Cricetulus griseus: one gene and its partner. The protein of the gene in region 2 interacts with the protein of the main gene of each other region in a biochemical or structural test. Links are inferred from orthologs where the notes say so. Each region holds a gene or a part of one and is shown on either strand. Other genes may lie near its edges. The genes, in order: Tpp1 and Tert.

The links.
Region 1: the proteins of Tert (region 2) and Tpp1 form a complex in vitro, tested with the Homo sapiens proteins (2 studies listed by BioGRID and IntAct). The link is inferred for Cricetulus griseus from reciprocal best matches to the Homo sapiens genes TERT and TPP1.

Annotation. Positions count from the first base shown.
Region 1 is NC_048596.1:93,954,710-93,957,739, reverse strand, and holds the end of Tpp1 (tripeptidyl-peptidase 1), read right to left. Parts: coding exon 2,937-3,030; intron 2,824-2,936; coding exon 2,625-2,823; intron 2,483-2,624; coding exon 2,294-2,482; intron 2,057-2,293; coding exon 1,987-2,056; intron 1,781-1,986; coding exon 1,660-1,780; intron 1,553-1,659; coding exon 1,394-1,552; intron 1,219-1,393; coding exon 1,093-1,218; intron 919-1,092; coding exon 778-918; 3' UTR 558-777; downstream 1-557. UniProt on the Homo sapiens protein: Lysosomal serine protease with tripeptidyl-peptidase I activity. May act as a non-specific lysosomal peptidase which generates tripeptides from the breakdown products produced by lysosomal proteinases. Requires substrates with an unsubstituted N-terminus.
Region 2 is NC_048595.1:368,299,541-368,303,957, forward strand, and holds the start of Tert (telomerase reverse transcriptase), read left to right. Parts: upstream 1-1,537; 5' UTR 1,538-1,922; coding exon 1,923-2,141; intron 2,142-2,236; coding exon 2,237-3,572; intron 3,573-4,417. UniProt on the Homo sapiens protein: Telomerase is a ribonucleoprotein enzyme essential for the replication of chromosome termini in most eukaryotes. Active in progenitor and cancer cells. Inactive, or very low activity, in normal somatic cells.

The DNA of each region.
Region 1 (3,030 bases), on a different chromosome or scaffold from region 2:
CGAAAGCCCAAGTTCACAGAAGCTAGATGTTTGCAAATATCCCAATGTTGCTTTACTGTAGCCAAGAAGGGGGAAATAAAATGTAAATTTAAAAAAATTTGTTGAAGCAAAATTTAAAGGTGACATCCATTTGTAACGACCTGTTTATTTTGTTGAGAAATTTTGCCAATGAGAACATGTTTAAAACACTTGGAGTTTACAAACTTTTAACTGTCTTTAGAATATGAGATTGTTGGCAACCTGTTCTTTAAAAAAAAAAAAAAAGCATAAAACAAGGATTGAGAAGTGTATACTGGATAAAATGTCAGGGAGACAATTACACCTCAGTGCCAGGGGAAGAAAGACTAAACAATTAGTAGCAAAGGTCTCATTCCAGTGAATTGAGAAGGAAACTTGAAGAGAAACAGAGCATACAGTCAGTGCAGAGGTGGTAACCACCCCCCCATCCCCCACCCCCACCCCCAGGGCCTGCTAGTATCAATAATGGGAGACAACCTCCTCATCTTCCTTTCACATCTCAAGTTGGAAAGAGGAAGATGGGGAAGGGTGAGACAAAATAACCTGGTTATAGCATCTTGTTGAGTTAGGAGACCTGAGTTTGATGCAGCACAGTAGGGTTGGGAGTCAAGTGCTGCTCACAGCGTTTGAGGGTTAGGGAAAAGATGGCTGCAGGAGGCAAGAGTTAAGAGTTTCACAGGGCTTCCATTGAGGCAGAATAAGGGACTAAGCCTTCTCCTGTAGCAGAGGGGACAATTCTACTTTCCCAGCAAGAAAGGGTCAAGGGTTGAGTAGAGTCTTCAGTAGGGCAGGGAAGTTGGGAGTTCCCCAACCTGTCACAGGATCCCAGCCAGGACCAGAGCAGAAACCCTGACCCTCCACTTCTTCATTCAGACAGGACTCATGGCAGCCATGGGTTACCTGGGAAGAGGTAGTGAACATCAGATCTGGGCATGCTGGTACCCATACTCTTAGACTGCACCTTATTTATATTCATATCACAGAGGCAATACCATAAAGCAAAAATGCCCCAAGTTCACATTATTCCTACCCATATCCTCTGACAACATCCACCCTCTTTCCTCCAACACTTACATCAAACAGTCCTGCTCCATGCTGCTGATAAAGTCTTGGATTGAGAAAGCCAAGAGGGGGGCGGCCATTGAGTATTCTGTGTTCATTTATCAAGGATAAAATTCCCCCAAACACTGGAGTAGAGGCCTGCAAGATGGAGATGCAAGAATAGGTCAGGGTTTCAGAGTTTTTAGACTTTTGAGGAATGATGCTTGCAAAGGTCAGAAGTCTAAGGAGTCAGGGGTTCTGGGTGCAAGATTTTATAGGTAAGGGATTGAGGGTAGTTCCTGCGTAGAAGTTTCAGAACCAAGATGATTCTCACCGAGGTTCCAGATACCCATGGAATGGGGACCTTGTTGCTGACTACCCAGTAGCCATCAGAAAGTGCAGCAACGTCTGGGTAGGCACGGCCACTAGCATTGAAGTAACTAGATGGTGGTAGATGAGAGCTGGACTTCAAGAACTGGGCCACTGCTTCCTCCTGCAGGACATTTCTGAGTGTGAGTATTGGTCAGTAGCCAGTTCAGCTGACTGCTGGACTGAGGATCCTCACCCCACCCTCCATATATCCAATGAACGTGCACAAACCTGGTATGAAGGCTGCGGGAAAACATTGCTGAAGCCTCCACCACTGATATAGTCAACTACTTCATTTGTGATGAGGAATGGATTCCTGAAGGAAGTGCCGCCTACTGTAGTGACGTAGGGGCTAAGGAAAAGACAGTATTCAGATAGTGGGTGACCCCCAAGATGTCTGGAGATGGGTGGGTATGGTCTGGGTCTTACTGGAAAAGGGAATAAGACTGTAAAAACCTGCATACAGGGTTTACTGAGAGACAGGTAAAGCTGAAGGCTGAGCCATAGCGGCACCTGGTGGGGTCAAAGTCACAAGTGAAAGATTTGAGGGGTGCTTACCTAGAAGCAGGGAAGCTAGGACGGAACTTGTGTCTTCCAGAGACAGACCAACACCCAGCTCCAGTGTCACCTGGGAGAGACATATTGAATATTCAGATTAGTTGGTGAGAGCTTGGGGTGTAGACTCATATGCCAGAGAAGAAATATAGGTGTCACCTCTTATTGCAGGTCAGGGTTTACAGGTCATGTCAGGCCCTGTTAAGGCTCTGAATTCCTACTATGAGTCAGAAACCAGGCTGAAGTGTCAGCTAGGGCAACATGTCCAGATTGGGTAGGTGGGAAGTCCAAGTTTAGGGTAGAAGGTTACCTGAGGCAAAAAGTAGGGTGAGACCCCGAGCAGCAGCCTTCATGAACTCGGTGTTGACTCTCTGGATGTAGATGCTGCTGAGGGAGTCTTCATCGTCTCCATAACTCACAGTATGTACATGTGGCAAGGTTGACTCATTGCTGAGAAGCAGGAGCCACTGCAAGAAGGGCTCCTGTGCCTCATGCCGGCCTGGATTGTTTTAAAAGAAGGGATACCAATGGTCATCAAAGAGTTGCTAGACTCTCCTTGAATCCCCTTGATAAAATGAAGCAGAGATCAACAGCCTACACCAACCCATTCCCCCCACCCCAACTAATTCTGTTAGTAATACCAGGGCTACTGTAGACCCAAGTGGAGATGTTGGCACCAGCACTCATCAGGTATTCCACGTCTAGACTGGCCTCGATCCCAGCTCGGCCTCGTCCCTGTTTTCCAACCACTCTGGCTACTGATGCCTGGTGTGCAAAATCGCCACCAAACAGGCGCATGAACTCAGTCAAATCTGAGTCATGGAAATACTGTTCCAGGAACTGTGGAAACAGTTAAATCAGGGGTCATGGATCAGAGAGTGGGCCCCAGGGTAGTAAGGCACTAAAGATATCTTGAGGAGGTTGTGAGGACCCCAGGGCTTTACATGGCTCACCTGGGCACAGGCCTGGCTATTATTGGTGGTGCCAGAGCCCACATCTTGTGCTGTCAGGTTGTATCGCCGACGGAGCACAGATGGAGTCACTCCC
Region 2 (4,417 bases):
ATCACATCCAGTGCTTTGCCCAGATTCTGGGTGGGGAGAATCCAGTTGGAGTCACTTGCTGCCAGAGCATTACAGGTCCCCAGGGATTTCCTACAGACATGTCTCCCTGTATGGGTAGGGACACTAGGAGTCCTCTACCCCCTTTCCTCGGAGTTTCTAAGCTACCACCTGCTGTCTCTGGCATAGCTCCTGGTGGGCAGCCTCTGCCTGGTCTAGTGTCTGTAAGAACAGCTTTCTAAGCCACACTGTTACTAGCCAGCACACACATCCCTCCCCTGTGTGTGTGTGTGTGTGTGTGTGTGTGTGTGTGTGTGTGTGTGTGTTCACTGGTTCCATCATAGCTCATGGACAGCTTCTACACATGTTTTCTGCTTTGGTTTCTTCTAGTCTTTTTTATTTATTGACTCTGGCCTTGAACCCAGGGTCTCATGTATAGTCAGCACATGCCACCCACTCCCTTTCTCCTCTTTGTCTTTTGAGGCAGAGTCTTAACTTGGCACAAGCTGACCTTAAACTCACTGCGTAGCTGGCCTGGTTTTGAATGGCCCCTCATCATCCTGCCTCCATCTCCCAAGAGCTAGGATTACAATGATGCACCACCATGCCCAGCTATATTCTAATTTTTAAAACTGTTTTTTCAATGCTGGTTTCTTTGGGAAACCACACTAAGGACACTTGGTTGTTGGCACAAATTCCTCAGTTCAGTCCCAAATCTCCAAAGTAGCAGTACTCAGCAAACCTCAAAAACACCCCTAAAAGAGGCTGACACCCACTAAATGGACTTCTAAAATAGCAACTGTAATCCCAAGCATTTAGAAGGCGGCTGACCTCCTACAAGGGAGTAAACATGAAAAAGCGCCTGTCGGGAGGGCTCCAGGTCTGTTCAAATGCTAGGTCGGTGGATAGAAGCAATTTCCTCAGAAAGCTGAAGGCACCAAAGGTTACATTTGTTAGCATTTCAGTGTTTGCCAAATTCAGCACAGATTCTGTATTTCCCAGCGCTTCAAACTTCACAAGGCCCTAGCTGTGGCTCTAGGTAGTGTCACTATTGATGTCCCCGACCCCTAGCGCCAGTGCCCTGTGCCCCCCCCCCCACCCCACACTGTCCCACTCTCAAGTACTGTTAAAGCTACCAGCCTCGAGTTAGAGGGGCTGCTATCCTGAGGTCGAGGTCTCTGCTTTGGCTGTGTGCACACTCAGTGCCCTTGGTCAGTGACTCTGGTCTAGCCACCGTGCCTGAGTGGGAGATGACCAATAGCTCTGGACCCTGGGGTGAAGGCTGCTGTGACAGTAAGAAAAGCGGACGCACAGCTTCACCTGGTCCCCGTCCTTTGGTGGCAGATGTTAAGGAAACCTTTTGGGGAGCTGAGCTTATGGTGGGGCCACAATAAAGCTTTAAGAACCTGTACAGTAGAGTTCCAGCCCTAATTATGAAGCCTTACTGGAAAGAACTGGGACTGCCACCACCCACTGTCTGCACCGAACTCACAGGAGGCAGCAGCCGGCTCTGGAGCAGGATGGACCTTAGATCCCTCTGCCTACAGAACCTTCAATAAATCAATAACAGGTGTCTTTGCTTGCGACCCTGCCCCAGTCTACACCACCTGGGGTCCCCAGCTCCGAGCGCAAGGGAGCCAACAAACTCTCTGTGGAGGGAAACCCTTTGTGACCACACCTCCCTCTGTTATTTTTACATTTCCCGCAACCACTGAACCTTGGGACCACCGACAGAAAGGCGCCATTGGTGCAACCCCGCCTCTTCCGCTACAACGCTTGGTCCGCTTCGATCCCGCCCCTTCCTCCGTCCCGACCCCGCCTTTTCCCGCCGCCGGCTCGCAATGTCCGGGGTCTTGATGCTTTTCTAACCCCAGCCCTACATCGAAGTTCCCGCACGTGGGAGGCCCGGCCGGACCTTGAGCGCGATGCCTCGCTCGCCCCGTTGCCGGGCCGTGCGCGCTCTGCTGCGCAGTCGATACCGCGAGGTGTGGCCGCTGGCAACCTTGGTGCGGCGCCTGGGACCTGAGGGCAGGCGACTTGTACAACCCGGAGACCCAAAAGTCTTCCGCACGTTGGTGGCCCAGTGCCTAGTGTGTGTGCCCTGGGGCTCGCAACCTCCACCTGCTGACCTTTCGTTCCACCAGGTGGGCCTCCGGGTTGGATCCCTGTGGGTCGGGGGCGGAGAGCCGGGAGGACGCGGGACAGCGCGTCTAGCTCAAAACCCTCTTCTCCTTACCAGGTGTCATCACTGAAGGAGCTGGTGGCCAGGGTCGTGCAGAGACTCTGCGAGCGCGGAGAGAGGAACGTGCTGGCTTTTGGCTTTGCGCTTCTTAACGGAGCCCAAGGCGGGCCACCCATGACCTTCACAACCAACGTGCGCAGCTATTTGCCCAACTCGGTGACTGAGTCTCTGCGCGTCAGTGGTGCATGGATGCTTCTGCTGAACCGAGTGGGCGACGACTTGCTGGTCTACCTGCTGGCCCGCTGCGCGCTTTACCTGCTAGTGCCCCCGAGCTGTGCCTACCAGGTGTGCGGCCCACCCCTGTACCAAATCTGTGCCACCGCGGATACTTGTCCCTCTGTGCCCCCCAGTTACAGGCCCACACGATCCGTGGGCAGAAATTTTACTCATCTTGGATCCACACACTCGGTCAGGAACAGCAATCACCAGGAAGCATGTAAACTCTTGCCCTTGCCATCTCGAGGCACAAAGCGGAGTCTAAGCATCACCAATAGAAGTGTGCCTTCATCCAAGAAGGCCAGGTGCGATCTGGCCCAGAGACTGGAGAAGGAACCCGACAGGCAGGCGGTTCCAACCCCATCAGACAAAACAAGGGTGCCAAATCCTGCTGAGTCCCCTGCAGTACCTATTAGTAGAACTACCAAGGAAGATTTGTCTTCCGGAGGGAAGGCACTTGGCCTGAGTCGCCCCGGGTCAGCGTGCTGTAAACACAAGCTCAGTTCCACATTCCTGCAGTCACCACTGTGCCAAGATGCCTTTCGGCTCAGACCATATACTGAGACCAAACACTTCCTGTACTCTAGGGGAGGTGGCCGAGAGAGGCTGAACCCCTCGTTCCTACTCAACAACCTCCAGCCCAGCTTGACTGGGGCCAGGAGACTGGTGGAGATAATCTTTCTAGGCATTAGGCCTAGGACATCAGGACCACTCTGTGGGACACGCCGCCTATCGAGGCGCTACTGGCAGATGCGGCCCCTATTCCAGCAGCTGCTTGTAAACCATGCGCGGTGCCCGTATGTCAGACTCCTCAGGTCACATTGCAGGTTTCCTACAGCAACCCACCAGGTGGCCGATGCCTTGAACACCACCAGCCAGCCGCACCTCATGAATTTGCTCCGCCTACACAGCAGTCCCTGGCAGGTATATGGCTTTCTACGGGCCTGTATCCGAAAGCTGGTGCCTCCAGGTCTCTGGGGTTCCAGGCACAACCAGCGGCGCTTCTTTAAGAATGTGAAGCAATTCATCTCCTTGGGGAAGTATGGCAAGCTCTCTCTGCAAGAGCTGATGTGGAGGATGAAAGTAGAAGACTGCCCCTGGCTTCGCAGCAGCCCAGGTGAGCAGGGCTGGTCTCCAGCTGAATGCAGTAAGGGTCCAAAAAAGGGAGACAATGAGTGGCAGGAGCCCAAGGCCTTAGTGCAGTGTCTTTATGCAGTCAGTGGTTGGGCAAGTCCCATCTGATGATCTCTGACTCCAAGCTCCCTCCCGCCCAGTTTGTGCTAACCAAGATTCTTGTCCAAGCCCTGGGGCAGGTTCTCAGGGCCAGGGACACTGGTGAACAGCAGGTGGAGTGCATAGTGTGGGTAGAAATACTGGCACTCGGTGAGAAGAAGCTCCAGTGAGAGCTGCTACAGGCTATTCTTGATCCCCTTGTGGAACAGTGCCTCGATGCTAAGGCCCCTGTGGTTTAAGGGTTCTGTTTCTCCCAGTGCAAAGACCTATGCGTGAGCTGTAGTGGTGCAGCTGCTCAGTCCACGAAAGGTTTAGGTGGAGAGAGGAGAAATAACGAAAGACTTTCCTACAGTGAAGATCCCTGTCCCATCTTAGTTTTGCAAATGGACCCCAGAAAGGAGAACCGAGCCTGCTGCAGGAAGGGGGACAGTGTTACTTGGGCGGTTGTAGAGCCAGGACTCCTGTGCCCTCCCTGTCCTGGTTTAATGTTAAGGTTGGTCCTCTTCCTTTCAGCAAGCCCTCCTGTCACCAATCTGTGCGTCTATGAAAGGAACCACACTCCCTATGCTGCTGCTCTGTCCTCTCCCAAACTCCTAGGATATTTACAACTTAAGGGGAAAAGATGGCAGAGCCATGTTTACCCACCGTGGGTGATCTCTGGGAGCTCCAGAGTGAGCCTATATCAATACACACACCTGGTTCTCCCAGCTGCAGCAGAGAGCCTCTGTG